Linked DNA regions of Diceros bicornis minor. Each later gene encodes a partner of the first gene's protein in a complex. Links are inferred from orthologs where the notes say so. Each region holds a gene or a part of one and is shown on either strand. Other genes may lie near its edges. The genes, in order: MAP3K3 and CCM2.

What was found.
Region 2: the proteins of MAP3K3 (region 1) and CCM2 are in contact, whole or in part, in a crystal structure (PDB 4Y5O), measured with the Homo sapiens proteins. The link is inferred for Diceros bicornis minor from reciprocal best matches to the Homo sapiens genes MAP3K3 and CCM2. Residues at the interface, in NP_002392.2 of Homo sapiens: Asp2, Glu3, Gln4, Ala6, Leu7, Ser9, Ile10, Met11, Asn12, Asp13, Leu14, Val15, Ala16, Leu17, Glu50, Asp82, His84, Met86, Asn88, Glu89, Leu90, Ser91, Ile92, Leu93, Arg117, Leu119, Leu121, Ser122, Gln123, Asp124; in NP_113631.1 of Homo sapiens: Leu299, Tyr302, Met303, Leu306, Arg307, Ser312, Gln313, Ile315, Gln316, Gln317, Phe318, Ala319, Ala320, Leu321, Leu322, His323, Glu324, Arg326, Glu333, Ile336, Asn337, Gln340, Leu341, Leu353, Phe356, Pro358.

The regions. Positions count from the first base shown.
Region 1 is NC_080757.1:46,473,801-46,489,510, forward strand, and holds the start of MAP3K3 (mitogen-activated protein kinase kinase kinase 3), read left to right. Parts: upstream 1-9,593; 5' UTR 9,594-9,980; coding exon 9,981-9,984; intron 9,985-15,710. Other genes in the region: translational activator of cytochrome c oxidase 1, read left to right, coding at 351-528, 864-1,064. UniProt on the Homo sapiens protein: Component of a protein kinase signal transduction cascade. Mediates activation of the NF-kappa-B, AP1 and DDIT3 transcriptional regulators.
Region 2 is NC_080780.1:1,910,446-1,926,255, forward strand, and holds the start of CCM2 (cerebral cavernous malformations 2 protein), read left to right. Parts: upstream 1-9,181; 5' UTR 9,182-9,212; coding exon of another isoform or gene 9,213-9,242; intron 9,243-15,810. UniProt on the Homo sapiens protein: Component of the CCM signaling pathway which is a crucial regulator of heart and vessel formation and integrity. May act through the stabilization of endothelial cell junctions. May function as a scaffold protein for MAP2K3-MAP3K3 signaling.

The DNA.
Region 1 (15,710 bases):
CTTGTTCATCACATGTAGAAGGACCTCGTTGTCCCATTATCCCCTCTATAGGCATATAATGTCAAGGTCTTAAAATGTACCACCAGGACTGGAGTCTTAATGGCACAGGAAATGACGAGCAAAGTCTTTGCATCCTCCAAACTCTCATCAGGGCAGAAAATAGAGGGTGGGGAGATGTTTGAATTATTCCTTTGCCCAGCGGTAGCTGCATCTTCTCCTTCAGGAAGAGAGCTGCTCCATGTCTGTCTGTACTCCCGAGGCTGAGTGGGAAGTAGAGTGTTAGAACGCAGTGCTGTGTGGAAGCTGAGTGTCTGAAGGCATTCACTCTGGCCCCTTTCCTTTCCTATCAGGGGAATGATGGCTGAAGGAGCTCGCCACTCCTTTGACAAAAAGGGGGTGATTGTGGTTGGAGTGGAGGACAGAGAGAAGAACGCTGTGAACCTAGAGCGTGCCCTGGAGCTGGCAATCGAAGCAGGAGCTGAGGATGTCAAGGAAACTGAAGACGAAGAGGAAAAGAACATTTTTAAAGTGAGTATGAAGCCTTAGTGTTTGGTGGACTTGCGAGAGGGTCCTAATAGACATTTTAAGGCATGCCTCTCGGTTTCTTGTTTCCTGCACCTGGGGTGCAGGTGACATAAAGAGTTCACATATTGCACAAACATTTATTAAATGAATAATGGATAGGGCTTACTCTACTGAGGACTGTGAGAAGGATTCAGAACACTGAAAACTATTTCTCTGCCAGTGAAGAGCTTAAACCTAGTGATACAGTATAGTAGTTCCATTCAGGTTTTGCAGAGTTCTCTCTGGCTTTGTCCTGTTATCTCCTGGCTCCTCACCTCGTGACTTTCCTTTGCCCCTAGTTTATTTGTGATGCCTCTTCACTGCATCAAGTGAGGAAGAAGCTGGACTCCCTGGGCTTGTGTTCTGCGTCTTGTACGCTGGAGTTCATCCCCAACACAAAGGTGCGGCTGGCTGACCCCGACCTGGAGCAGGCTGCCCGTCTCATCCAGGCTCTCGGCAACCATGAGGATGTGATCCAGGTCTATGACAACATTGAGTAACCAGTCTGTGTGTGCCCTTGGGCTCCTTCCGAGGCAACTGGCAGCCTATTCTGGAGCACAGGCTTCTGCAGCATCCTCTGAGACTGAAGCAGATGGGGGACCTAGCAGGTTAGGAGGCATAAGGACTGCAGCTCTATGGCTAAGGGAATCACCACATCTCTGTGGGGCCTCTTTGTCAGCTCTGCTGGTATGTCAGAGCCCTCCTGGATGAGTCCCCCCACTCCCTCCTGGATGCAGGGTGGCGCCAGCCAGCTGATCAGACTCTGATCTCAGGAAGTTGGCCCTTGTGGGGATGGTAGGTGCCCTGAGGGCGCGTGTACTAGAAACTGCTCTTAAATAATAACAGTGATTGATCTGGTTTGCTGCATCGCTGTTGTATGACCCTTCAGTTTTCCTGGGTTTATGTCCAGCTCTTGGGACCCTCTTGACTTCCTTTCAAGTCTATGGGCTTAGTTCCACTACTCCAGTCCCAGGACTGTTGTTTATTTATTTATTTTTTTTGATTGACCAGAGAAATGTAACTCTCTTCAGGCGCTCTGTCCTCTGCTGCTGGTCTAATGGCCTAAACCTGTCGTTGATTCATGCAACTAATATTTATCGAACACTTACTATGTACCAGAAACTGCACTTATCAGGAGCACAAGCTATTTAATTGGTGCCCTGTGTTAGATCCTGCTCTAAGACAAAGGACCTCAGAGGGAAGACACAGGACTGCTCTCCACTGGAGCTGTCCCAGGGCAGTGTGAGCTGCTGTGCATGCATCCTTGTTCTCTTCATGTGGCCTCTGTGCCCTGCTTCTGCCAGGGAGCTTCAAGCTCTAACCCAGTAGGAAATCAAGTGCCAATGATAAGGGACTACCAGGACCTACTTTGCCCAGGCCCCTGTGTGTTCTGAGATTGGTCAGAGTGGACCTGTCAGCAGATTGGACTGCTCTCAGACAAGGCTATGCCAAGCTGGTTTTGAAAGCTGCTTGGTCCCCAGAATGCCTAACCCTAGCTCCTTTTCATCCCTGATGCCAAATGATGGAGCACAGGAAACTGGAGAGGAAAGGAGAACAGAAGGAAGGGTGAAGGGGTGAGTCAGAAGCCTGGCCAGGTAGGAAATAGGGCCCTTGGTGCCTTTTGCTCCTAAGAATCACTTCTGGGTTTAGAGAGACCAGGGGTGCCAACTACCTGTGCTGTAGCCCATCAAGCATGTTGGGCCTGGAGTAGCTTTTTGATCCCTGTCATTCACCTACTTATAAATTGTTTAAGCAGTTCTGAGCTCACGAGTCATTTTCCTGAAGGAGCCTCAAGTAAATGAGGATGGAAAAGAACAAACACCAAATTGGGTATAAATGTTAACTTCAGCTTCTAGGAAAAACAGATTACTAATTCCATAGTGACTTCAACAGCTGGAGAGCAAAGGCTAGGGGGAGGAAAAGCAATGAAATAATCCATGATCATGCCAAAGCATATGCTCTTATACCTCATTTCAGAATCCTGATACTACCTGGGATTCTTTAGTTTTTATAGGACATAACTCATCCAAATATCTGAATAGCACATCATTGAAATAGGGCAACTTCAAGTTTAAATGCTGCTTCATAATTTACAAGATACTTTTTTGTGTGTGTGTGTGTGAGAAAGATCAGCCCTGAGCTAACATCCATGCCAATCCTCCTCCTTTTTTGCTGAGGAAGACCGGCCCTGGGCTAACATCTGTGCCCATCTTCTTCCACTTTATATGGGACACTGCCACAACATGGCCTGACAAGCAGTGCATTGGTGCGCACTTAACTGCTACGCCATGGAGCCGGCCCTCATTTGTTTGGTTTTTTTTTGCTTTTCATAACAAACCTATAAAATAGGCCAAGTGTTTTATGCACAAATGATCTCATACCAAGCAGATGAGAACAGGTCTAATAGTACACTTTGTACTGATAGACCTTGGTTTATAAAAATAGCTGTTTTGTAAATGTTGAATATAAATTAATTTAGAGGACTCTGATAATTTCTGATCTGAAAAATATGCACTATGGGAGCCCACTCTGGGAGGGAATTTGGCTACTCCTATGAGTAGTCCTCTAATCTAATAGGATTTGTTAATATGGATTCTTGTGTAACTAATTTTCTTACATCAAGGCATACTAGACAGCTCTGCACTGACCCCTGGTGGTGGTGCAGTCTTTGCTGTAGTTAATATGGGAAAGGTGGAAATGAAACCTTACTTGGACCTGTTCTGCCTCTAGATCTGGTATAGAGACCCTTAGCTACATAAATTAAATAGTTAACTAACTACATAACTGAATAGTTAAATAGAGAGGGCATGAGTTACTCTGCCACTAAAAATTATTTTTCAAGGAATATTTTATGTCAGAGAAAATGTTTACAATATAATGTTAATTGCAAAACAAAGATGCAAAACTATATGTATAGTATGGTCCAAATTTTAAAATATGTATCATACTGTATATATGAACTTTTTAAAAAAGACAAGAAGGAAGTGTACCAAAATACCAAAACTGGTTATATCTGGGTGATGATATTATAACTGAGCTTTATTTTCTAAAATCATGTATTACTTTTATCAGGGGAAGCATTTTTTAAAAAAGAAAATTTGTCATATTATTGTCCATCTAGGGAGACAGCACATGAGAGGCCGGGAGTCAGGTGCACCTTAAAGTCAGAAGAACGGAGTCTGGTCCTGGCTTGCCTTTGCCTTATCTTTGGTCATTGTCTTAGCAGCACAGAATCATTCAACACCTTGCAGCTGGCTTGGGCTCACTTTCAAGTGTCCTTTCAGTGGATGGAGGTATCTCTCTCCGTAGCCTTGACTCTTACAAGAAGTGTTCATGCGGTAGGTGGGTGCCCCACCCCACCCCCCTGCCAGAGGCCCCGACTGAATTGAGCAGGAACAGTGAAGGTTCTGCCTCCAGCCAACCATGGAAATTCAACTATGTGGTTGAGTTACTTTTTTTTTTTTCTCTCTGAAGCTTAGACTATATCAGTCAATAAAGCTTCAAACTCTAAGAGAGGCCAACTTCTAGACTTTTATTTGAATCCCTGGGAACTTCTCTGGAGACATTCTATGAAGAGAAAATAAATGAGCCAATAGATCTGGCAAAAGAGAGTGTTAAGATAGATACCATACTAGTCTTAACTGAAATCACTTTCTCTCTTATCTACCCCCAGACAGTGAATGGGACAGCAGTTTTCACTTTTTTCTCTTTTTGTCTTTCTTTCGTCTAGGCCAAAAAGGTAACATTTATTGTTTCTTTAAAAAGTCAAACTTTACAGAAAAATGTAACAACAACAAAAAAGTCCCATCTAATCCTATCTCCTAAGATATAACCACCATTAACAATCTACTCTATTCCAGTCATTGGAACCAGTCTGCTGGGGAACAAACTCTGACTCTGCCAATTGCTAGCAACCCTGAACAAGAACTTAATCTCTTTGCACCTATTTCTTTATCTATAAAATGGGGATAATAATACCTATTTCATAGGGCTGTTTTGAGAAATAAGTTAATATGTGTTAAGAATTTAAAACAGTATCTACTAATAGTAAGTGTTTAATAAATGTTGGCCTTTTTTCCCACCAAGTATGAATGAACATTTTTAAAAATTGAAATGTGATCACTGTGTACATTTCTGCTTTACAACCTGTTTTTTTTTTCCCACTTCCTACTATATCATGGACACCTGAAGGTAGTATGGAGAAGTCTGCTTCATTCTTTTTGGTAGCTACATAGTATTTTATTGTATTAATTAATACACCATAATTTATTTAACTAGTCTCCTATCAGCTGACATTTGGATTGCTATCTTATCGCTTCTCGGCCTTTTGGCTAAGATCAGGTGTGGATTGCTATCTTACAAAAGATGCTTCAATGAACATTCTTTACCTTTGCTCACTTGCAAAGTATTCTTTAGGATAAATTTATAGAATGGAATTTCAAAATGAAAGAGATTCTTCTTTAGAATAAATGTCAGTAATATATAAAACATCATGGTTGTAAAAATTTTCCATGTACATCATTCCTTAACAATGCAGATAAACTAACTGGTTGAATTGGTAATCTGAATATATTCCACTTTACCTCTGAATTAAAAGAATTTTCCTCAAATCAGGTGATAAGTTTGTTGGTTTGTTTTCTTTTTTTTTACACCAAATTCACTGAGAATTCATTAATTTGTATTTATTGTTCCCTATCATATGTCCAAGTGTCCCTATGCTCTTGAAAGAAAAAAAGGAAACTGTCCAGCTGGTGTATGATTGGGCTGCCTAACGGGACCAGCATTTTCTGAGGTCCTGAGCACTAAGGGTAGGTTGTGATCTTTGGGGTCAGATATGGCTCAGGTGCTTAACCAAGGGCATCTACTCAGTGTAAAACCAGGGGAACAGAATTGAGAAGGCATGGCCTAGCTGGGAGCCTTCACATGGGGAAAATGAAGAGTGAGGGGAGAAACAACATAGAAAGAGCAGATAAAATATATAGCTAAAAGGGCACACTTGTGGAAATTATATTCAATTACTAGCATCCCCATTTGAGGTTCATTTATTCAACAAATACTTGTTTTTTGAATGTGTTATGAAAGATGCTAGACATACCAATTTGAATGACACAGCTTCTGTCTCTGTGTTTACTTTCTTAAAGGCAATCACATTAGAGTAGGACAAGTACTTTGATCAAGAAAGTACCAGGTGCTCTGGTACCCAGATTTGGGGGTATCTGCCTAGAAAGGTTTCCTGGAGAGAGTGATGTTTATGCTTAGTTCTTCCCTGACAGAACGGGGGTGGAGGCAAGAGTGCAGGAAAAGAGAGTTTGAAACAGAGAAAAATAGCACATGCAGAGGTGTAGAGGCGGGAGAGAGTCATATTTGAGGAATTGCCAGTGGTTCTGTGTGGCCAGAATATAGAATTTGAATGATAGGGTTGGGGAGGTGGGAAAATGAAAAACTTGTGGCTGGAGAATGGCCTGGCTCCTGAAGGGCCTTCTTAGCTACATTCCTGTATTTGACTTATCCTAAGGGCGATGGGAAACTATAAAGTTTTTAAGCAGAGCATGACAAGATCAGGTGTCTGTTTTGAAAAGATCACCCTGTGATGTAAGCACACATTGGGAGGCTGTTACACTAATCCAAGTAAGAGATTTTGGTGGTTTGAACTAGGATGGTGGAGCTGGGGACAGGAGAGGAGTGGACAGATTGGAGACATGGTCTAGATTAGCTCTGGGGGAAGGGAAATGGAGAGGAAGAGCTCTCCAAGTTAGACAACTCGAAGGCATCCAACTTGGGGAACTGAAGATGGAGAGAGGAAATAGAGAACTATGGAGGAAGATGATGAATTCAGTTTGGACCTGTGGAGTCCAAAGTGCCTATGGGATAGATACGCAAGGAGTGACGCCTCTAGAGTTCGGAAGATAGTCCAGTATGCTAAGTGCAGTGTGAGAATGTCTGAGACGGCTGGTTAAGGGACAGACAATGGAAATGAAGCCCTCAAAAAAAGCAGTTACTAGAACAGTAGAAGGAAAATCAGAAGGCTCTTTTCAGCTATGGCTTAGTAGTTGTATGGCAGTTCTCTACTATATACCAGGCACTATTCTAAGTGTTGGTGATAGAGCAGTGAACAGGACCAAGTCCCTGCTCCTACATAGCTTATGTTCATTGTAGGTGGAGAGAAGACAAATAAGCAAATATATAATTACAGGCACTATGAAGAAAAATAAGGCAGAATATGGGGATACAGAATGACGGAGGAGAGAGAAACTATTTTGGATGGGGTGGTTAGGAACTGTTAAGTAGTTGATGTTTGAGCAGAGACCTGAATGAAATGTAGGAATTAGCCATGGGAACATCTTGAGGAAGAGCATTCCAGGCAGAACAAATGGCAAGTGCAAAGGACCTGAGGTGAAAGGTCCTGAACTTGGTAGGTTCAAAGTATGGTAAGAAGGCCAGTGGTAGACATGGGACAGGAGAGGATGGCAGGGGCCAGCTCCTGTTGGGCCTGGAAGGCCACGACAAAGTTTGGGTTTTATTCCAAGTGTGATGGGAAGCCATTGGAGACTTGACAGCAGGGGAGTGACATTATCTGAATTACATTTTACAAGGATCACTCTGGCTGCTCTGTGGAGAACCATTTGTTGGGTGATCACAGAGGAAATGAGACCAATTAAGAGGGTAAGGCAGTCATCCAGGAGAGAGGGTGGCAGCCAGGACTAGGGTGGTAGTGGTAAGAAGTGGTTCGATTCAGATACGATTTGAAGCAAGCTGAAAAGACTTGCTGAATGATTGGATATAGGGGTGTTAGAGAAAGAGTGAAATCAAGGAATATTCCTCCTAGGTTTGTATTGTAACAGTTGGGAAGATAGAGGAGCAGGGTTTTTTGGGAAGGGGGGAAGGAATCAAGAGTTCAGTGTAAAACATGTTAAATTGGAGACATGTTTTAGACATTCCAAGAGAAGCTGCTGAATAGACCTCTGGATACAGGCAAAGGAGTGGGTACAGATTTCCACTGGCATAAATGTGTCTCTTTTTAATATTTATCTCACAGGTCAATAAAATTAAGGGTCAGATCTGAGCCTCAGATTGGCAGATTGTGACCTCCAGCACTGGCCTATTACATGCATTCTCACCAGGGTGATATCCCCAACAGGTGAAAAATGATTCTTAAGGGGTGAAAAAAAATCAGATAATACAGTGGTATGTGGCCTTCAAAGCTCAACCCTACCTGACAAAATCTTATTCCTTAGTATTTAATTTCTCTCATTAGGGAGAATTTAAGTAATTTAAAATTTTCTCCTTAGGGGGTGATAATGAAAAAACAGTCAAGAAACACTAGCCTAGTGAAAGAACATGGCCTTTGGGTGTCAGATGGACCTGGTAGGAATCCTGGCTCTACCACTTGGACATGGTACTTCTCTGAGCTTCACTTTCATCATTTAAATGCCAATAGTATCACTTACATCAGGGTTATTGAAAAGGTTAAATGAGATGATGTACCTGGCATATAGTAAATGACTGATAAATATTACTTTTCTTTCCCCTTTATCTCCCCTTCCCAGAAAAGAGAGATTATTATAGTTAAAGAACTACAATAAACTGGGTAGGGATCTAATCAAGAGTGAAAATGATGGACTTAAAAGCTTGTTGGAGAAAAAAAAACCTAACAGGATAAGAGGCCTGATTAAATATTGGGGGTGGGGGTTGTAAATATGGGAGTCTAAGGTAATTCTTGAGAGATTCAACACCCAAGGCAAAGCCAGCACTAAATGTTCTTAGTTGATAGTTGAAAATGGCATCTGAGGAAGATTATTCTGGCATCTAATTTATAATACACTTGAACAGGGACCAGAGGAAGGGAGCCCATATTAATTGTGGTGGACTTGGAATCTGAAGATCTGAGTGTATAAAATGTTGAACAATGGGGAAATTAATTATGTTCACTCTCTATTTTGAAATATCATGCAGCCAGTACAATTGATTTGGAACAATATTCAGTAGCACAGGAAAACACTTAAAATGTAAGCACACTACAAACCAATATGAAGACATCTTTGTCAAACGTTGTATATCTAGGTAGGAAAAAGATAAAATTATTTCTGGGGTGGGATTTTTATTTAAGTATCTTTTTCAATTTTAATACAAAGAGCTTGTATTGCTTTTATAACCAGAAAAAAAAGTTTTTTTTTTCCCGAAAGAACCGCTCTGATTTTGCCACTTACTGGTTTCGGCCCAGGCCAGCAGCGGAACTCCCATATTTCCAAGGACCCACATTCCAGCACTACCCCAGCCCCTCGGAGGGTGTGGCCTCGGAGGTATGAGACCCAGGAAAAGGCGGGCAGTGGTGAGGCCGCCCCTGCCTCCGGGCAAGCACAGCGTCTGGACCGGAGCTGCGGACTTGCCAGGGGATCCGGTGGCAGAGGTGGACACACGCCGGGAAGCGCTCAGAGCCAGAACGCTCTCCGCTTACTACGCGCCCGGTGTGGGCACTGGGAAGGGCAGGACGCTGGCTTCAGGGACCGCCGAGAGCCAGGAGGGCGAGAGGCCAGGGGGCCCCTTCAGCCCCCGTCACAAACTCCTGGCCCAAAGTAGCCGGCGGGGAACCGCGCCAGCCCGCGCGCCCGCCGAACCTTCGGTGACTGACGGGAGGTGGGGATGTGGGCGGAGCTTCACGCGCGAGCTGTGATTGGAGTAACCAACACCTCCGGGGAGAGAGGGCAGCCAAGACCCGGGGGATGCGCAGAGGCGGGTGCTCAGAGGCCTCTACGTGATTGGCTAGCAGCGGAGTGAACCAGGCGCTGTTCCGATGATTGGCAGGCGGTAGACAGCCCTCAGAAACAGCCGTGGCTTCACTCATTGGCATCCTGTGAGAGTAGGCGGGAATGGTTCATCGTGTGGTGCTGGTGATTAGCTGGCGGCTGAGAGCGAGTTGGGGAGGGAGCGGGGGGGGGGCGGTGGGAGCAGCGGCTTCCTTCTTCTTATTGGCTGTTGAAGTGAGTAGGGGTGGTACGAAGGTCCAGCGACTCCCTGGGATTGGTGGGTGCTGGGGTGAGTGACAGACAAGGGGGCGAGCTGCGCGACCAGCGGTTTGTTTTTCGGAGCGTTCCTGAGGTGGAGAACGGTGGCCGGACGGAGAGACTGCGAGACTGAGGGACTGCCGGGCGGGCGGGTTGAGCGGCGCCGCCGAAGCCGGGCTGGGCCGAGCCGAGGAGCGCCAGGGATGTAGCGGGCCACCCTGCCCATGCCACAGCGCCCGGCCGCGGGCGGAGCCGGAGCCGGAGCCTGGGGAGGCGGCGGGGGCCCCGAGCGCAGCCCGCGCCCCCCGCGCGGAGCCAGGGCCGCTGCCGTCCCCGCCGCCCGGGCCCCCGGCATGCAGCCCTGGCTGCGCAGGTGACACTCGGGCCCAAGCCGCCGCCGCCGCCATCGCCACCATGGGTGAGTGTCGCCACCGCCCCGGCCTGTGCCCGCGCTGCTTCGCGTCGCCCCGCCCCGGGCTGAGGGGAGGAGGACCCTGGGCCGCCGCCTGACAGGCATGGACAGCCCGCCCGGCCGGGGCTGCAGACCGCCGCGCCCGCCCGCCCCGCTCGCGGCTCCGCGGCCCGGGTGGGGGTTCTGGCGCCCCCGGCCCGCCGGGGCGGTCCCGGCCGGCGGAGCCCCCTCGGCAGCCTCCTTCCGGGCCGCGCGGCGGGCGCGTCCCGAGGAAGCGGCGGCCGGGTCGAGGGCCCGTGCTCGGCGGGGCAGCCCGCTCCGGCCCGAGCGAGCCGGCCCGCGAGCCCGAGGGCGGGGGAGCGAGAGCGCAGTGTGGGGCCCGGGCTGGAGGCTGGTGCAGGCCCAGCTGCTGTTGTGTCTTTTCCTTGATTTGCTTTTTTTTCCTGCCTGTGTCATTTCCTTCCCTTTGCTCACACTGGCCGGCCTGCGAGAGTTCCCGGGGCTCGCTCTCGAGCCCTGTGCGCGCCCGGGAGCAGAGGGGAGGGCGTGCGGGAGATAGGCTGCGAGGTGATTAAAACGGCAATCACTGTTATCAACAGCACGGTTGAGAAATGCGAGCTGCACGCAGATTGCTGGAGGTTAGGAATTGGTCGGGGGCTGCCAGTTATAATTCACATCCTGCTTTTTGAAAATCCGGTTGCAGTGTTTTACATCCATTATTTTTATCTTGCGGTATCCCTGAAATTATGTAACTTTTGAAAGAGAGCAGCATTCGCTACACAAAAGAGTCTCTATGAAATCATTTCCTTTTTATCAATATTTGCAATTTCTGTTGTGAAGATGTAATCTAAGAAAGGCTTTTAATGTCTTCCGCACGCAGCATTTGAACTGAATTGTATTTCATGTCCTTTTTGGTAACTTAGCAAATGCCTGTTGGACTAGATTAAGAAGCAAATAACATTTTAGATGTATTTTGCTTCTCTTGTTGAATCAGTTATTGTGATACTCTTGTCCGCAATCACAAGTTTTGCAAAGTATTTGGTATTATCCTAAATAATAAAGGGGTAAACTTCAGTGAAGGGATCCTTTGCAAAGCCATTCATTGCATCTGTGAAGTGCCCCATGTGAAGAGAGAACATTAATATTTGCTTTGCCCTATAGCAAGGTCAAGTCATTTTTGTAGGGGGTTAAGTGTATGCTGTGTCACATTGGGCAGATATTCTTTTGCAGCCTGTCTGTACACTCTGGCTTTGAATGAACTGCCTTGTTCTATTCCATGCTGCCCCTCATTCAGTAAGGGATGGGTTTGTTCATTTGCTGGGCTTACTGTTTCGTTCCCTTACCTCAGAAGTGCTTGCTCCTCTTTGGAAAGTCTCCTATGACAGTAGGCAAAAAAGGAACCTAGTAAGGCTTTGTATTTAACTACGTAATTGAACAAATACTTATTGAACATTTACTATAAATGGGGTGCATAATTCTTCTTGTCCTCCCCAGGCTTCAAACATTTATCTTGTGTTCTAGAATTTGGTGATTGAACTAAATCTTTGAATTGTGGGGGTAGTCTTAAGCCCCAAAGGGGGTGTGAAATACTTGGCGGTGTGCAGACCTCCCACTCCCCACTTTCTTTCTTTCTTTCTTTCCTTCTTGAGGAAGATCAGCCCTGAGCTAACATCCATGCTAATCCTCCTCTTTTTGCTGAGGAAGACCGGCTCTGAGCTAACATCTATTGCCAGTCCTCCTCCTTTTTTTTCCCCAGAGCCCCAGTAGATAGTTGTACGTCATAGTTGCACATCCTTCTAGTTGCTGTATGTGGGACACGGCCTCAGCATGGCCAGAGAAGCGGTGTGTCCGTGTGCGCCTGGCATCTGAACCCTGGCTGCCAGTAGCAGAGCGAGCGCACTTAACCACTAAGCCACAGGGCTGGCCGGCACTCCCCCCTCCCCCACTTTCTTGACTGCTAAACTAGTTAGAGTGCCCAGATGTGTTGGCTACATTTCATAGTCTAACATGAAAATAGATGTCAGCCTGTTTTCACATTTCAAGACATTTTCAAAAAATTTAAATATGTGAGTATATGGAGAGACGGTGATGGGGAGGAAAGGAACTATGTAGGTAGGATCTAGATCCCCAAAGAAAAAAGGACCAGAAACTCAGTGTCTTCTCATTTGGTGGCTGCAGTATATTAGGCAAGCTGGTTTAAGAACCACTGACTAGGGCCGGCCCCGTGGCTTAGCGGTTAAGTGCGCGTGCTCAGCTACTGGTGGCCCCTGTCCGGATCCCGGGCGCGCCCCGATGCACCGCTTCTCGGGCCGTGCTGAGGCCGCGTCCCACATACAGCAACTAGAAGGATGTGCGGCTATGACATACAACTATCTACTGGGGCTTTGGGGAAAAAAATAAATTAAAAAAAAAAAAAAAAAAAGAACCACTGACTGGGGGCCAGCCCCGTGGCATAGTGGTTAAGTTTGTGTGCTCTGCTTCGGAGGCCCAGGGTTCGAGGGTTCCCATCCTGGGCGTGGACCTACACACCAGTCAGCAAGCCATGCTGTGGCGGCATCCCACATAGAAAATAGAGGAAGATTGGCACAGATGTTAGCTCAGGGATAATCTTCCTCAAGCGAAAAGAGGAAAATTGGCAACAGATGTTACCTCAGGGCCACTCTTCCTCACCGCCCCCCCCCCCAAAAAAAAAGAACCACTGCCTGGCTTTCTTCAGAACTCTCCCCTACCCCCGCATACCATTCTCTCCGTCTTTTGTAGATGACCTTGACATGCAATTAGAGCTAATACTGAATTCTCCCAGAAGCTGGCTCTTTATGTAGGGCTCAGCAAGGATAAATATGTACATACACACACAGTCTCTCGCTTAAATACTAGTGTCCGTTTTGGTGGTATAAATGATGAAAATTCAAATTCGCAGGTTTTAGTTGCTGTGGTTCTAGATGAACTCAGGTGGTTGATGAGAGAGAAACATGGACTTATTCATATTCTCATTACACTTGTTAAACTCCAGCCCAGTGAGGAAAGAACTAAAACTAATTTGAGTCCCTGCCCTGCAGGTTCTTTGGTTAAGGGTCGTATTTTCCTGAGTTGTTCTAAGCCCCAAACTCAAGCCTGTTTGACAACTTGGGTTGGTAATAAAAACAGGTCAGATTTTATATTGGCTGTTAGCCCCAGTAAATTTCTAGTGGAAACTACACTTATCCCTGTAAATAATAGGAAATGTTCTTTTTTTTGGCTTTGATACTGTGTGGTTATTAAAAAAAAATGGGGCTTGACTGGTCATTTTTTCTTGGTCACACTAGAATTCTCTCCTAGTTTTAGTAATTATAGGCAAATGCTGTTAATAATACCTGAGATTAATTTACTAGCATTTGTTTGGATTTTTTTGTGTGTGTGTGAGGAAGACTGGCCCTGAGCTGACATCCGATGCCAATCTTCCTCTTTTTGCTGAGGAAGACTGGCCCTGGGCTAACATCTGCGCCCATCTTCCTCTACTTGATATGGGACACCGCCACAGCATGGCTTGACAAGTGGTGCATCGGTGCGTGCCCGGGATCCGAACCTGCGAACCCCGGGCTGCCCCAGCAGAGAGCTCACACTTAACTGCTGCGCCACCGGACCGGCCCCTGTTTGGATTTTTCATAAATGCAATCTGAAACTTAGTGGGAAGTATTACTGAAAAGTATGTAACAACTTAGAAATGTTACAGGAAACTATAGTGAACTGAGTACAGGATTAAGGGTGGTGTGGTTCTGGTTTGATAGCTTGGTTTGAAGTCAGAATCACTGTGATTTACAGACACCTTGTGTCTCTAGAGTTCCAAGTCTGTTGGGAGCTCCTAGTTAGATCAGTCTCAATTCAGTTTGGCTAGAATCTGACCACGTGTGTAGACTCGGAATCGTTAGCAACTGTTTTGATTGAAATTGGGATCCCAATTTAATGAATCAACATGGCTATGTCACAACTAGATTTCTGATATTTTCAAAATTGATAGTCGGATTTTAAAACTGAATTTTAGGCTTTTGTAAAGAGCAAGTATCTGTCCAACTGAGCATTACTTAGGGGAATACACAAAGGATAAGAAGCAGTTTTCTTGGTTCTATCTATGTAAGCTATCCATTTATTCTTTGCCCATTTATTGAATGTCTCTTATGTGTCAGGGGCAGTGTTAGGCCCTGTACCTGCATTTATTCTGTCCTTAAGAAGTTACAGTTAGGTAAGGTGAACCAAAAACATGTAAACAAATAAGTGCAATAGGTGTCGTAGGTACTTTGTCAAAACTGTGTAAAGGTACACAGGAAGGAGCGATTCTATAGTTCAGGGAATGACATACATAACCCTATAGTCTTCAGGCCTTTGATTTAATTTCATTAAACATTAAAATAAAATATAGTGGTAATATATTGATTCTTATGAGGAAGCAGTGGCTTACTTTGTAATATGCATTTTTAAATTTTGGACCACCATCAATTAGTATTGAAGGGCTGTTATATCCCAGAAAAAGAAAATAAACACAAGAATTTGACTTTGAGCTCTAGCAAAGGTTCAACCATGTCCTTGAAGGAAACAAGTTTCTTATGAATTGATGCTGGGGCCTTTTTGCTTATATTTGCTATAAAATGATGTTTGCCCAGGTATGGACTGGGTAGAGGCAGTGGGAGTATATGAAATGTCATGAAGAGTAAGATAGTAAAATCTGACTCAGCGACACTCTGAAGCACAGGATCTCCTGGGTGAGCAGTGTGATCAGATGATCTGGCAGAGCGGGGTAGAGCGTTGACAAGATGAAGAAATAACATTGTTAGTTAAGTGAAAACAAAGATTAAAATATTACTTTGGGGATGTGTATATATGGAAAAGAGTGTCTGGCATAGTAAAGGGACATCATGTAGGACAACAATGTTTATTGAAGGACATGGTGCTTCTGGAGACTTTTCTGGGTTTTTAGCCAAGGGAATTCATGAATGGGAGTGCGTTAAGACCCTGCTTTTAGAGAGAAGTAATAGTTCAGTCTGGAAGAGTGACTTCCTCCTGGAGCTCAAGAGAGAAGAGTGTGTTGCCTGGCAGCCTCCATGCCATAGGTCAGGGTATGAGGAGAAGAAAAAGTACGCGCTGCTGGATGATTATAGATATCTGTCTGCTTAAGAGCTTCCAGTTTTTAAGCCTGGACTCTAATCCTTGTTTCATAGATCCCTTCTTTTGTATTTTATTTTTTTTAATTAATTAATTTATTTATTTATTTTTGCCCCCAAAGCCCCAGTGGATAGTTGTATGTCATAGCTGCACATCCTTCTAGTTGCTGTATGTGGGACACGGCCTCAGCATGGCCGGAGAAGCGGTGCGTCAGTGCACGCCTGGGATCCGAACCGGGCTGCCAGCAGCGGAGCTCGTGGAGCTCGCGCACTTAACCGCTAAGCCACGGGGCGGCCCATCTTTTCTATTTTCTATGAATAGTCCTCCCCTCTAGATTCTTAACCTCTTAATCTCTAGAGTGAACTTCTTCCTCTGTGCTTCTTCCTAGTTGCTCAGACCACCCCCATCCTCTGGAAATCTTTTCGGGGTTATAGCACACTATTACCCGTGCCTCAACTTGTTCACATGTAAAGTTCACAAATGCATTGTTGATTTCCAGTACTTCCAATTTTCTTTTCATCTCCAGCTTCTTGATTCCCTTTAAAATTTTGTTTCTGCCTCTACCACTCTGCTGGATCTGCCTGGCCTATGCCTGC
Region 2 (15,810 bases), on another chromosome or scaffold:
GGAGGCTTGCGGCCCACTCACTCAAACCCTGAGCTCAAGCTCGGGGCACGCAGCAGTAACGCGCTGAGCCCCAGCCCCGACCGGAAGCCGAGAGAAGAGACCATAGGGTTGAATTGGGCCTACGTGCGTTTCTTCCACGAGCGCACGAGCACAAGTAACTCGGGCCGATGGTAGGAAGCGATGGACCCCAGACACAGATCCTTTCTGGCTGAGGGAGCGAGGGAAGGAGCCTCGGGAGAGAGAGCCTTATCAAGCAGATAAGTCGATGGGAGCTAAGTGTACTCCCTATGACCGTGTAAGTCTAGAGCTGAGGTTCCTACACTTATGCGACCGCAGAAACATTCCTATCATCACATCATTACACAAAATGGCCTTTTCTTCCACGTTCTTCTCGGTATGTATTTTACGTTCAGCAAACACTTCGGAACTGTAGGCCAAGACACAGAAGTAGGCTCGGTTCTCCCGGTGAAATAACGGTGGAGAGAACAGGAGGCCCATGCGCTCATGGTTCGGGGCGGGGTGGACGCGGGACCCGCGCAGCGTCACTCAGCAGCGCGTCCCCGCGACGAACTACTGCGACCGAGTCGAGGGCCGACCCCTGGAAGGCAGGCCGCCAGCTCAAGCCGGCCTCCTACCGCGCCCGAGTCCTCCTCCTCGGGGCAGGCCGTACCCACAACCCCATTCCCCCAGCGCTGCCCCTAAGGCCGCATGTGTCCTCCGAATGGGACCCTCACAAGCTCGGTTGGAGACCCCCGCCCGCCGCAGGGCCGACCGGGCCGGGCTAGGTACCTCCGGATCCCTCCCCACCCGCCCGACGCAGCCCAGCCCGCGACAATTGAGGGGCCAGCGCGCCCTCCCACCGGGCCCCGAGGCCCCACAATCTTTACCCGGCCTCAGCAGAGGGCAAGCACGGCCTGGGACCCTCGATGGCCTCGGATGACGACGATGGCCAGGAGCAGCCCGCGGCCGCAGGAACACGCTTCAACCACCAGCCATAGCTGCTACCCGGCAAGCCCGAGCCTGCGTCATCACGCGGGCCGCCGGAGGCCGCACGTGTCGTCACGTGACCCGGGGGCCCGGCGCGGCCCAGGGAGATGACGTCACGTAGGGGCCCGGGCGCGGTCTTCTCTGAGGATGGCTGGCAGAAGTGTGGTACCGGCGGAAGCTGGGTGGGGACAGGGGCTGGAAGGAGCGGGGGTGGGCCTTGTAAAGGAACCGGAGACCGGGAGGGGAGCGGGGCGGGCGGAAGGCCCCAGAAATGAGGAGCGGGACGCGGGATCGTCCCCGTTGAAAAGGGGGAAGACAGCCTCTTTGCTTTCAGAATGTCATTTTCTGCACTTTTCAAATGGAGATAAACCCCTAATGGCTAGGTAAGCCCAGGCTAGTCTCACAAGTCAGGAATATTTCCCAAGGACCCGGGAGCTCTGACTTTGAAATGTAATTGTCAAGGGGGACAAAGCGCGATCTCCGGTGTCCTGGAATGTTAAGGGCCCACTTGTCACCTGACTCCAAATTGCACAAGCTATCTAGTGTAATGGGCTCTGTCCACTTAGCTGTATAGGAGAGTGAGCTTTCTTTCTGTCCTTGTATCCCTTGAGTGGATTGCCTGTGATGCGCATCACATTCTGGTTTAATGCTTGTTCAATAAAATTCTTTCTCTTCTCCTTTTGTGAAGAGGTTTTCTGAGTTGGGAGGAGATTTTGTTTTTAGTTATCCGCACCCCCCCCCCCCCCCCCCCCCCCCGCTGAGGAAAGCACATCGCAAGGTCCTGAGACTGGAAAGAGCATGGCTTGTTAGGGATCCAGTTAAGTCTAAGGGGAGTTGGATAAGGACTACACAGTCAAGGGTCTTGACTATCAGGCTAGGAAGGTGAGAACTTGGTTCTGTAAGTAAAGGAAAAGCAGAGCAGTACTTGAAACTCATATTTTATGTATAGCACCTAGTATATACATTCAAGCAGTTTACAGCATACAAATCCCATTATTTCATTAAATTTGATGAGAGAGAGCAGGAGTATCACTTCCAGATTGCTAACATGGAAACTAATATTCACCCAAGATCTCATAGAAGGCTAGAGTTTGATGCAGGTTGTTCTAGCTCAGAGTTCACTGCTCTTTCCATTCTGTCACTCTGCCATGAGATAATCAAAGAGAACCAGGAAGGTAAATGGTTATGGAGGGCCAGAGTATGGGTGTGAGGGTGTGAGTGTATATGTGTGATCAAAAATGGTGAGCTCTCCCAGGGCTGAAAGAGAAGAGCTTTTTTTCCTAAGATGATAACCAACAAAATTCACTAGAGAGAGGAAGATGCTCCATCAAAACTTTTATCCAAGTAATAAGAAAGGATGCCCAAACATTAAAAACTACATAATCAAAGTTCAAGTGCATTATACTATAGGAGGCTGCATGAGACTGGCACAGAGATAGGACTGTCACTAGTTAAGTATCTTATCTGCTGACGAGGATTTTGAGAACTTTTTCCAAAACCACATCTGGAAAGAGTAACTCCATTATTCTTCGAAGCCAGTTGGAATATATGCCTGAAAAGAAAATTAGCAATTTGGCTCTGGAAGAATGTGGAGAGTCATAACCAAGGAGATATCAAAGTAGGGCATGCAAGGTTTCTTCCACTGGGGCCACACGGGGTGGCTGTACTTCTGAGGGGTCATTATGATCTAGAGTTGGTCTTGTCAATGCAAATAATCCATAACCTATAAATCTATAAATCTATAAATCAAAATTGGGGTGAGTTTATCATGAGCCAAATTTGAGGACCATATAGCCCGGGAGAGTCCTTTCATAAAGGAATGGAACACTCCAAAGAAGTGGGGGTGTGCAGAGTGGTTATATACTGTCAAAGAGCATGTATCACATGTGATTGCAATGTCCTTTTCACAAAAGTCATGAGATGGCCCTGTTGGCCCAGTGATTGATGGACGCAGCTGGTATCAGGCCTGCTGTCTTGATGGGCACAGCAGGTAGAAGGTCTGTTGTCTCAAGTTAGATGGTCACAGGATGAGCACAGCAATCAAATCCTAGCCTAGGGAGGAATGCTTATCCTTGAGGAAATGCCAATGTGGGGGAAATTGCATCCTTATCTTAAGGGCATTTGTTCTTGTCTTTGGGACATGGTAAATCCTTAAAGCAGATATACAGTGCATGTTCAAAGGCCACATCAGGCCCTTCTGGAAAAACAAGGTCAGGCTGAATTAGTTTTACACCAAGTGGCTTCCTCATTATAGTCTATATTCCTCAATATATCCTATTGCTTGCCATTTATCTATCAGATTGGTCCGTTGTCATTTACAGGCTCAGAAACCGGATGTATAAATTCATTGAGAATTCACTTGAATCAATGTTACCGAACCACGTTTGTTTTTGCCTGTCGCCCAGAAAGCCAAACACCGAGACAACGAGATTGCACTAGAGAGAGGGTTTAATCACAAGGCAGCCAAGTGAGGAAAACGGGAGAACAAGTCTTAAATCCACCTCCTCGATAATGGGGACTCAGGGATATTTATGGAGTAGGGGGCAAGGTGGTCTGAAATGTGGAGGTAGATGATTGGAGGTGAGGGGAGGTGAGGTAATTGATGATCTGCGCAAGTGTAGTCAGACTTCATGCCTCTTCATAGGACGCATGTTCACAAATTGGCAGCGTCACTGTGACCTGAGGGTGGAGTTTTAGCCTCTTGACATCAAAAGGTTGCTTATCAGACATGTTCGTGGGCCCAGTTGATGGGTTGGTGGTCTTAACTGGCCTGAAGTGGACAAGGGGTTCTAATTCCTGAAAAACAGCTCAAACACCCATTACCATGGTGATCGAAGCTCCAGGGAGATGTTATCTATAGGAACCTAGTGTGAGTCGGCTAGCATATTGCCTAAACAGCACAGTTGATGATGGGTGGGTAAACAGCTATAAGCTATAACCAGTAATTGCAAAAAGGAAAAAAAACTTGAGTTCCTAGCTACTTAATCATCAATGGCTAACTGTTTGCTGGTTTCATCAACTCTAAAGAAATTCTCTTCTTTGCTAATTAAGTCAACGTTGGATTTATCACATGCACAGCACAGTATGAGGTGTAGCATGACATATGTCAAAGAACAACTCAGGGGCATCTAGTTAGTTATCTGCTAGCTGTTTATTTCTTATATGAGGGAGACAGTTGATGGGTGAGAGGGACAAATAGGAAAAAACTGAAGTCAGCCTTGGGAACAGTGAAAAGATTCACTTAAAAAAAATTACCTGGAAACTAGCAAAACTGTGAGTCCAGGAAAACTGTCTTTGAGTAGGCCAATCGAGGGTAATTTTCAGTTGTTCAGGGGTTTCTTGAAAACTAGTCTAGCTAGGAAGCATGTGTATGAAGCTGTGTTCAGGTAACATCAGTGCCCTTTCATCTTAGTCTGGCCAGGTGTGTGCCATTTCTCTCAGAACTTCTCAGATACAAAAAGGAATCTCATACAGTCCCTATCTTTAAAGGAACTTACAGTCTAGTAGAGGAAATGTCCTAACATGGTTAACTCCAGCATCAGAGGCATATGAATAAAGTGCTCTGGGGGCTGGAGGAGGGAAAAGTTGCATCCAAACGTCTAGTGGAAGAGGTGATACTTGAGCTGGGTGACAAAGCCCAACAGCCAAGTCCCCCAGGGACAAACCAGGCATCCAACAAACCTCGGTTAATTAACTTGCTGCAACAAGGGAGAAGCCCAGAGGATTCTGGGCTGCCTCTCATTATGAGAGTAGAAAGGGGGTTCTGTAAGATTTGGGATTGCAATGAATAATTCCGAGGAGGGGAGAGGGGAAGTGAGGCTCAGCTCTAGATTGTTGCTTCCATGAAGTGCAGACAATTTAGTAATTGGGTCTCAGTTATTTTTGTTCATGGGTTGGGGCCACAGAGAAGGCTAGGGAGGTTATTGGTAAGAAAGCAGTGACCATGAAAAAGAAGGAGGCTGTTAGGACACTTTACAGCTGAGGTGTGACCGTGGGAGAAATATTGTTTCATGTTAACACTGCAGCTGACCTCTTCAGGGTCTGTTACGAGAGACTGAGTATACAAATGGATGATGAGTGGACCAATTATAAAATAGAACTCTGACCCACAACCTGCAGCAACCAGCACAGGAAGCCAGCTGCTGTAAGTCAGACTTGGTGGAACTCAGGCTGCTTTCTCTAGTGACAACCTGGGAAGCCACACAATAACTCCTGTAACAATCCAAATGAGCCAAATGACCAGGACTTGGTGAATAACTGACAACTTCCCTAATTTTTGTTCCCACTTCCTACTTTGGACCAACCAGAGATAGTCAAACACATTCCCCTAACCAATCATGAGGACACCCCACTTCTAGTTAGCCCACCTCCAGCTTCCCCAGGCACACAATGCCAGGGCACCCCTGAGCCCCCGTTTCTCCACCATGAAACTCTCCCCATCCCCTGCCTGCCTTTGGGTCTCTTGCAAACCAAGTGACGAGGGTGACTCTCTCACTATAGCCAACTCTGAACACATAGCCTTTGCTTGTTCTCATTTGGTTGGTCCTTGTTTATTTCCAAAATTATTACCATCTGATTATTAGTAGGCAGAATTTTACTTGAAGCCTGGTCTTGTGTATGTGGATTTGAAGAAGCCTGAGGAGAGTCAGCCTAGGGTCAGGTTGTGAGATAAGAGAAAATACACATATTGGTCTCTCCCCCAGTTCCTGGCACAGAGCTCCTACATCCCTTGGAATTTCCTGGGTGGAAGGAGTGTCTTTTTTTCTAATGAGGCGACTCTGGGTGGGCTCCTGGATGGTTCCTGGATGGGAGCTCGTCATCAGAAAGACCATGATTAGAAATTTAAAACTTTCAGCACCATCTCCATCCTCCAGAGAGGGGAGAGGTGTTGGAAATGGAGTTAATAATTAATCATGTCTATGTGAGGAAGCCTCCATAAAAACCCCAATATTCTGGGGTGCGAAGAACTTCCGGGTTGGTGAATACGTGGAGGTGCTGGGAGGGTGGTCTGCTCAGGAGAGGGCATGGAAGCTCTGTGCTCCTTCCCACGTACTTTGTCCTAGGCATCTCTTCCATCCGGGTGTTTATCTATATCCTTTATCATATCCTTTAATAATAAAGTGGTAAAGAGTAAGTAAACTGCTTCCCTGAGTTCTGTGAGCCACTCTAGCAAATTAATCAAACCCAGGGAGGGGGTTGTGGGAACCTCTCATTTATAGCTGATTGGTCAGAAGCACATGTGACAACCTGAACTTGAGATTGGCATCTGAAGTAGGGGGCAGGGCAGTCTTGTGGGACTGAGTCCTTAACCTGTGGGATCTGATGCGATCTCCAGATAGACAGTGTCAGAATGGAGTTAAAGTGTAGGACTTTCAGCTGGTGTCACAGAATTGCATGATATGGGAAAAACTCCCACACATCTGGTGTCAGAAGTGTTGTGAGTGTGGTAGTAGTGAGAGTAAAGGAGAAATACAGGAGTAGATTGAGTTTTTCCTAAAACACAGGTTAAGGAAAATTTTAGCAGTGTTATTTACTGCATTACAGAGTGACAAGTATGGAAAGGTCTTAGTGGAAGACCTTAAATATCAGGCCTCTGTTCTGAGAATGGTGGGAGAATAAGTACCAAATGCCCTGCATTATCTGTGTCTGTGAATGTAGTAAGCTAAATTATCTCAGAAGGTAGATTGAAAGGTCATTTCCTGCAGCTCTGCTTTATGTGCCAAAGGGACTGGAATACCTAATGCCTTTGGGGAGTGCTAGACACCAACTATTTCTTTGGTATCTGTACCAAATAGCGCCCAGTCAGGAGACAGAAACATGGTACAGGAAAGATTTAATATAAAGGATTATTAAGTATAATGGGATTAGGGTAACAAGAGATTGGCTAGTAAAAGTGAAGAGAACTGAAGAATGCAAGAATAGTAAACATAAGGAGCAGCTACTATTCTGAGGGCTGAGATAAAGCTCCCAGGGAAGAAACCCCCCTACACCCCCAGGGCTGAGATCCAGACTTTTGGAGAGCGCATAGCTACAGCTCGCCGAATGGCAGAGAAGTGCTGGCAGAACCTGCAGTCCACCCTCTAGAAGGCAGGGAAAGCTGTTCGTGGGGAGGTGTCTTGCTGAAGCACTTGGATATAAAACTTCCCAAGGTGCATGCTGGGGGAATCTGCTGGCAGCTGTGCACTGCAGAGCCAGATGCTGCGGAGCACCTGTACTGGAGGAGCTCCCTTGATGTTGGGAGGTGGGTGCTGCAGAGGCCTCTTGTTCTGCAGGTGCCTGCCAAGAAAGCTCACTGGAGCCAGGCAGCAAAGCCCCTTCCTCCTACACTGCCTCCCAGCAGCTTCTACTGGCAAAGCTTTACACTGGACCACGCGGAAAAGGAGGAATGCTCAAAGGGCCCAGTGCCATCCCACAGAGCAGAGAATGAGAGTGAATATGGAGCTGAGAGATAATACATTGACACTGGCACAGGATCCAATACTTTAATTATATCAGTTGAGACAAATATTGGTTTGTTTGGCATCAGTTTACATTCTAACTGTGCTGCATGGTTCCTATTGGCAGTTTGGTTTAGTGGCAAAATAGTAGGCCTGCTGCTGCTGGCTCCAATTTGCAGTGTGCTTTGGGCAAACCACCTGATTCTCTGGACCTCATCTGTAAAAGGGTGGCAGTTATTCCAGGTGACTGTTGAGGTTCTACATTTTATTCTGATAGGGTCCAGACATGCTTGCTATTGAATTTCCACTTTCCTGATGTGTTTGTCTAAGGAACGCAGGCATTGAAACAGAAGAAGTCTGAGGCCAGCCCCGTGGCGTAGCAGTTAAGTGCGTGTGCTCTGCTGCTGGCGGCCCGGGTTCGGATCCCAGGCGCACACTGATGCACCGCTTGTCAGGCCATGCTGTGGCGGCGTCCCATATAAAGTAGAAGAAGATGGGCACGGATGTTAGCCCAGGGCCAGTCTTCCTCAGCAAAAAAAAAAAAAAGAGGAGGATTGGCATGGATGTTAGCTCAAGGCTGATCTTCCTCACACACAAAAAAACAGAAGAAGTCTTAGAAAAGGTCTTCATGGTTGTGAAAATTAATAAAGGAAATCTCAACTAAAATTGGAGTTGGGAAAGCCTGTAGAGGGAGCTCTACACGACCTACCATTCATCATCAATTACCCCAAATGGAAATAAACGTACCTTGTGTTTCCAGCAGGAACTTGGCTACTACGTTACTACCCCAGCAGGAGGAAGGAAGATTTTCTTCTCGCCTGGCAACAAGCTCAGCCAGTGGAAAACACCCCAACTCAGCCAATGAGGAGCAGCCACCACCTTGAACTCTTACTGTCCTCCAGTGAACTTTTGTTTAGAATAGCCCCTTCCAGCTCCCCTTTTTCATTCTCTGGACTTGCTTGTGGTTCGCTGTAGTTTGCATGTCCCAAATTGCAATTCCTTTGCCATTCCCAAATAAACTCATTTTGCTAGTAAAATAATTGGCTATTTTATTTTAAAGTTGACACTGTGGCAGTGGGAATGAAAGGGCAAAATGAGAAAAAGAAAGGGAGTGGACCCCTGCAAGCCGCGCCCTCACCTTGCCACAGGCCCCACCCTCCTGCAGACCCCGCCTTCACCTCCCACAGGCCCCGCCCCTTCCCACTCGCTCCTCCCTCCGCCTGCCACGATCCCCGCCCTCCTCCGCCCGCCGGCCAAGCCCTCCGTTTCCCATCGGCTTGAGCTTGGCCTCCCTGAGCGCGAGGCAGGTTGGGAAGTGGCTTGCCCTAAGGATGGCGGCAGAATTAAAAAGCTATAGTCGCTCTCACGGCCACGAGGGGCCGGGAGGCAGCTGAGGGCGGGGCAGACCCGCTCTCGCCCTCCCTGAAGCGCGTGGGGCGGGAAAGTGGCGCAAGAGGCGCGCTCCCGCGTCCCTGAAGGGGCGGGGCAGGGCAGGCGTGTTCCCGGCTGCCCCGAAGGGTTGGGGGCGTGGCGTGTGGGCTGGGGGGCGTGGCGTGATCGCGGGGCGTGGCGGGGGCGTGGCCGCCCCTCGGCCCGGAAGTGCGGGGTGCGGGGCGCGGGGCAGCGACGGCCCCTGGCGGCCGCGGGTGGAGATTGCGGCCGAGCGGGCGGTGCAGGAGCAGCGGCAGTGGCGGCGGCCGTGGGGGCCCGGCGAGCATGTAGCGGCTGCGGGCTACGTGGGGCTCCCGGGGCGGGGCGGGCCGGGCCGCGGGGGCCGCTCGCGGCGACATGGAGGAGGAAGGCAAGAAGGGCAAGAAGGTGAGCGTGCGTGGGCGCGTCCTCATGGGCGGGGGCGGGCTGGACCCCAGGGCGAGGCGGGCGGAGGGGCCAGGGCTCGGGGGGACAGGGGAGGGTCCCTCGGGGCCGCCCTTCGGTCTGCTGGTGTGGGGTGCGCGGAGGTCCGGCTTGGGGAGGTCCAGGGAAGGGAGTCTGATTTGAGGAGGCCCGGCGTGGGGAGGCCCGGGACGGGGAGGCCCGGCGTGCGGAGGTCCGGGGGCGCACACGGTTGGTAGTGACCCTGGCGGGAAGGCTGAGGTTCCCCGGCGGACAGCGCCCGGTCAGGCCCGGGACGGGGCCTCGGGAGTCGTTCTCCGCGGATGGGGTAGGAGGCGAGCCCCTGGACAATGGGCTTAGGTGGTCCCGCCGGCCCGGCGGGCGGGGGAGGAAAGAGCCACGCCTTTCCGCCCCTTCCGGTCAGTGACTCTCCCCAGACCTAGGCTCTCCACATGGCCTTTCCCTCGGGTCAGTGACCAGTGGCTGCAGAAGAGCTGGCCCCGGTTAGGGCCCGGAAAGTTTTCCACGGTTGGTATCTTAGAGACAATGGGGTGTAAGCTTAATGTAGAAACGTTTACCGCTTAGTTGGCGTCAATTTTTGATATCAAGTAAAAGCAAAAGCTGCGCTTCGCGGTACAGCTCGTTCACGGGTTTAGTTTTGCCCTACCTAATACCAGCTGAGTGATGTTAGTGACATTACATTTGGCAGTTGGATTTCGGACATAGTTCAGACGCTTCTTAGTTTATGTAGTTTTAAAAATGTGGCTTTAATTACAGGCTAGAGCAGTTGGTAAAGAAACTCAACATTGTAAGGAGACTGAAATAACCACGTGAGATAAGCTACCATTAAAATGGAAAGTGAGTTTCAATTAAATGCATATTTTTCAAATACAGGCTTTATAATCTGCTTAAATGTCTTACCATTTTCGTTTTCATAAATGTGTGTGTGCACTTTTATGCACAAGTTTAAAACAGACCTTGCTAAATCCTATGATCTTACCACCGTCCACTCTTCAGAGCCAGCTGTGTCCTTCAGTTGACGATTGCTCATCACCTCGTTTTACAAGGTGCCTCATTTTAAAAAGGTCGTATTTGAAATCGAGTATAACCAGGTGGTCTTCGGGGGATTGTGTGGTGCTGCTTCCCTCCCTTTCTTTACTCATTGTTTTGTTACATTATGAACAGGCATGTCTAATTTAAATGCCATATCTGTTGTGGTTACCTGCAAAGATGGTTTAAGTCTGGAAAACAGCCTAAGAAAGTAATTCAGCCTACAAGCATTGGACTGCAGAGGGATGCTGCCCACCACAAAGGAGGAAAGCTGAGTTTAATGTTTCAACCAAAGCTGGTAGAAGTCTCCAGAAGAAATTCAGTCAATCCCCTCCTTCTCTGTCACAGACAGGCAGGTGGGCCAGGGCCCTTATAGGAGATGGCCTGTCCCCAGTGCTCTTGGCTGCCAGCATTCTACAGAATAGTTAGCTCACTCCCCGCAAACACCAGTCCTTGCCACACAACATCTTCCACAATCAGGCCAGACAGTGCCTGGTAAGGAGAGTCACTCCTTTCAAGTGGGTGCTAACCTGGATGGGATTGACTGAATTTCTTCTAGAGCCTTCTACGAGCTTTGGTAGAAACATTAAAACATTGAGTAATGTTGAGAGTGACAGAAGCAGTAAGACATTTCTGAGGTTTTGGAGTGGAAGTGAAAAAACCAGTAAAACTCAAGAATTTTGGAGTTGGGGGCAATGGAAAGATTAGGCATAGAGAAGGTTAATGATGAATTTCATTGTCTCTGTTAGAGGAGATAATCAGTTGTCAGCTAGTTGCCTGAGCCTGGAGTTTTGTGTTGTCTATGCTGCCACTGCCCCAGCTCATTTTCCCACGGGCAGGCCAGACGGAGAGCTCTGGGGCACGGATTCTTATCCAGGCCATAACTTAGCACACTGTGCCCGTTGCTCTCTGCCAGTCGCAAGCTGGCAGAACCTTCCTGCCCTGCTCCCCTAGTCGATGTGAAGTCACTTCCAACTCGTGAAATTTGGTACTTAAGTTGTTCTCATTATGGTAAATGAACTAGAGATACCTATTTTAAAACTTATACACAAATTCAAGCTCAAACAGCAGAAGTAATGACAATAGTTTTATGGAAGTACAGTTTAGACATTTAAATTCTCTTTCCAAGTTAGCTCCTTCAAAAAACACACATTTAAACCTTTAAAAATGTGGATTGGTGAGCTTTTTTCTGGTCTTCAGACACTTGTCTTAGTGTTTTGTTAAGCAGTTATTCAGGCTTGTTCTAACGTGGCCTGTTTCCTCAGGGCAGGAATCAGCAAGCTGCCAGAGACCCAGTAGACCAGAGTGGATTTCATATAAAGTTGCCCCAGGTACAGCCATGTTCTTTCTCAGGCTACCCTGGCACATATGGTGAGGGTGACTTGAGCCCCTATAATGTCCCATGGAAGGCGCTGGGTGATGGGGATGCAGGTGGAGCCAGTGGGGAGATGGATAGGTCGTGGTACGTCTGCGGGATGAGTGTGTGGACAGAGAAGTCCACTGGCTGCTAGAGATGTGGGGTCCGGGGAGTAGGAACGACCACCGGGGTCACTCTCCTGCCTGGATGTCCCCAGAGTGACTGGTACCTTTCAGACCACAAGTCTTGATTTGGGGTTTGGAGAATAAGGCTGCCTCCTTACAAAACGCACCCAAGTTCCATGTGTTTCGACACTATTCTGTTAGGATGTAATTTCTTTTTATAAGAAACTTAGGTGTACACTTGAGTTGGATTGTGTGCATTTTTAGAAAAACAGTTGACTCACATGAGTGTCACAGCCCATGAGAAGTCACAGCTGTGGGAGGTCACCATTGGGCCTCAACCCTGTTTGGGTCATGGCTTCTGCTGCTTCTCCTGCTGTTAGGTCATGGGTCGCACTACTGGTGGCCATGATTTCAACCTGAACAAAGTTAAATATTTTTAAATTGATCTACTTTAGTTGCATTCTTTAAATAAAAAAAAAGGTTATAAGGTACACTAGAAATGTGGGACTGGATATTAAATGATAATTAGGAATTATTGATTTTGTTGGGTATAATAGTTGTAATATGTTTTGTCAAGTTCTGATCTGATAGACATCGATACTGAGGTATTTATAGGTGAAATACTATGATTTCTGAGATTTGCTTTACTCAAACTAGGAAAAAAAAGAGGAGAGATAGCTGAATTCTTTGGCAATGGGTGTTCATTATATTGTCTACTTCTGTGAAATTTTGAGAGTTTCCATATAAAAGGGGAGAAAAAGATCCCCTAGGTTATGGGCCCTGGATTATCAGCTCATGTACCTGCAGAATCCTCCTTCAGCCAGTGTCTGTGAAGAACTGGGAGCTTGGGCTGGACCATTGCCTTTAAAACTTTTGTAACTCCAGCCATCAGACAGCCATACCTTCTCCACTGATGTGTGCACTTGTGTGTAAATGTTTATAGCTGAAATGAAAGTTTAAAGAAATGGTGCTTACTACAAGCAATGCTCTCTGATTTTTTTATTCCATTCTTTTTTTTTTTTCCTCTCATTAAAAATACTGCTGGTCATGACCTACTAAATTGCTTTTATAACTGAATTGATTCTATAGCTGTCATAGCCGTAACATGGGTTAGCAAAGTGAATTTGGGCCTCTATACCTTGTTATATCTTTCCTCTTAGATAGTTGTCACAGTGATTCTTGCAGGGCAACGTGGCGCCCCAGGGTGAGGAGGCCGGAAGACCAGGGCAGAAGGTGCCTGGTGGAGACCATAGGTTAGACGAGTCTGGAATGACCGGCAAACATGAGGCTCATTCCTCTCTGGTTTGGAGAGTTACTATTTATATAGTATCATGTATTTATTAATTTTCCACGTAAGGATCTATATAGTCCCTGGACCCAGATTCTGTTACCCACTGACTGTGACGATTTAGATTGAGAAAGCACATCAGAATCTTGTAGTGCTTCTCAGTTACTGCTCTGAGCGTCATCGAGGGGAAGATAGTGTAGAGGGAAACCTTTCTCTTAGCAGTGGTACTGCAGTGGGGGGCTGCTCTGAAATGAGAAGGGCGTTCAGCATTCTGCCTCATGAGTTTGGGGACAAGTGCCTTCTGTACCCAGTGAGTTTGGTCACTGCAGTTACTGTTGGTCTTAACATTTCTTCATTTCTGTCAGCAATAATAACCCAACTCCTCCATCCTCATCACCACTCTCGTGTTAGTTAACAGCCACAGTTAAGTACCGTAGATTTAGCTGATCAGCATGAAATCATCCTATTTATTTATTTGAGTGTCTATTACATGCTTACTATAGTGACAAGAAGGGTTGAGGACACTGCATTCTTTTTGAAGAGTAAGCTGCTCACACAACGTTAGAAAATGAGAGAGGGCCAGTGCCATCGTGTCAGGAGAGACATGGGTGGGTGTCAGCTAATTCCACGTGGGGGACCATGTACGTGACGTTCAGAAGCAGGAGAGGTGGAGACCGAGGCCCCGCAGTGCTGGGAGGGCTGGGGGGCGTGGTGGGGGAGTTTGGGTTTAGTCATGTGTGCAGCTGAAGCCACTGGAGGTTTTTATTTATTCTTTTAAGAACCGTTCAGTGGCATGGACTATGTGCCAGGCGCAGATACTGGGGAGACGGGTGAGTTGGATGTGCTCTGTGGCCGCAGAGCTTGAAGTGGAGCTCAGAGGACAGGTGAGGGTGGAACTTTAGGAAGCGTGCTTTGCTAAGAGTGAATAAGAAAACCTTGTTGTTATGAAGACATCAAGTAGAAGCATAGAGAAAATGTTGTAATGACATCCCCGTGCCCCAACTTCAAACATGGTTGGTGCATGGGCAGCTTGTTTCAGGTTCAGTTTTTCCTCATCCACCCCTGCTCCCCAGGTGTTATGGGCTGAACCATGTACTCCTCAAATTCATATGTGGAAGCCCTAGTCCCCAGCAACGGAGAAAGGGTCTGAGATATGGCCTTTAAAGAGATGATTTAGGTTAAATGACGTCACTAGAGTGGGCCCTGATCCAATCTGGCTGGTGTCCTTATAAGAAGGGGAAATTGGGACACAGGCACATGCAGAGGGAAGACCATATGAGGACACAGGGAGAAGACAGCTGTCTGCATGCCACGGAGAGGGGTCTCGGGAGGAACCAGCCCTGCTGACACCTTCATCTCCACCTTCCAGCCTACGGGACTGTGAGGAATAAATGTCTGTTGTTTGAGCTGCCCGGTCTGTGGTGTTTGTTAGGGCAGACTAAGCAGGATATTCTGAAGCAAATCCTAGTTGTCAGCCTGATGTCTAGTTCAGTGGCCCAGTGCTAGGACTGCGTGGTGGGAATCAGTCTCAACCTAGCCCAACGGTTCTGAGGACCTGGCCTCCACTCTTGCACCAGACACAGATGAGCTACTCAGAGCAGCAGGATGACCCACCCTGTGCTCTGTGTGGGCCGCAGACCGCACGCTCGCTGTGCCCTGTGGCCCATGATGGGCTTTCCGCCTAAGGTCTGCAGGGGGGTGCGCTGAGCCTCGTGCCATCTTTGCGTGGCTCCTGCGTCACTGCTCTGCTTTGGCACTGTTTGCTGCTCGGCTTGCTCTTTCTTAGTCCTCAATCCAAGAGCAACGGCTCTTGAAATGCGCTCAGTTTTAATGATTATGCGGTTGTAAGGGAATTTAGCTTTGTATTTGTCAATTTAGTAGAAATAAAAAGGAAATTTCTTTAGCTCTGTGCCAGTGCCAAAAATGTTACAGTTTTTCCTCCTAAGTGTGCCTGAACAGTAGCAGTTTTTGCTGGATCGTGTTAAAAATTAGGGCATTTGATCGCAGGCGTGCAGTGAAAATAATCCTCTTCAATAAGTACAGTAGGAGGTTGGAATTTGGGCTTTTGTTTGAGGCTTAGGATAGTGAACTGCCGTGTGTCTTGTAACCCAGGAGGTGGAAAGCATAGTTGAATTCTGAACATACGAGAACAGTGGTGAGCCTGACCCTGTTGTGTTGCTGTTCATAAGGAAAACCCGGTGTGCGAGTCACCTGTTTCAGGTGGGAGATGCTGTTTCACCTGTGTTGTTACTTGTGACTCTGAGAAGAAAAAGAGAGAAACTTATATTCTTTGAATCTTTATTATCCATTCTATAGTTTAAAATTCCATGCTAGCTTTTTCCAGAAATCTAATATGCTTCCTGCATGTTGTTACCATGAACTGTGCAGTCAGCTGTGGTTTAGAATATTCCTTTTTTCCCTTGCTGTTTACACGGTGGGGATACAGGTTATTAATTTAATGCCTTGGACAGACCTACGTGTCAGGTATGTTACCCTACATGGCCCATGTCAGGAAATGTTCCAGGTTTGACTGTGTCTAACTGTTTTATTACTGTGTAGACATGTTACTCTCAACAGTTCTTACATTTTATGTTCTGTGGTACACATGGCAGCCACAGCAGACCTACCCATCGTACATCCTGTGTCAGACCCATCTCAGGCTCTGTTCTAAGGCTCTTTGCCCCTGATATTGTGCATCTTCAGCCCCACTGTTTGGAAGAGGTGTATACAGCC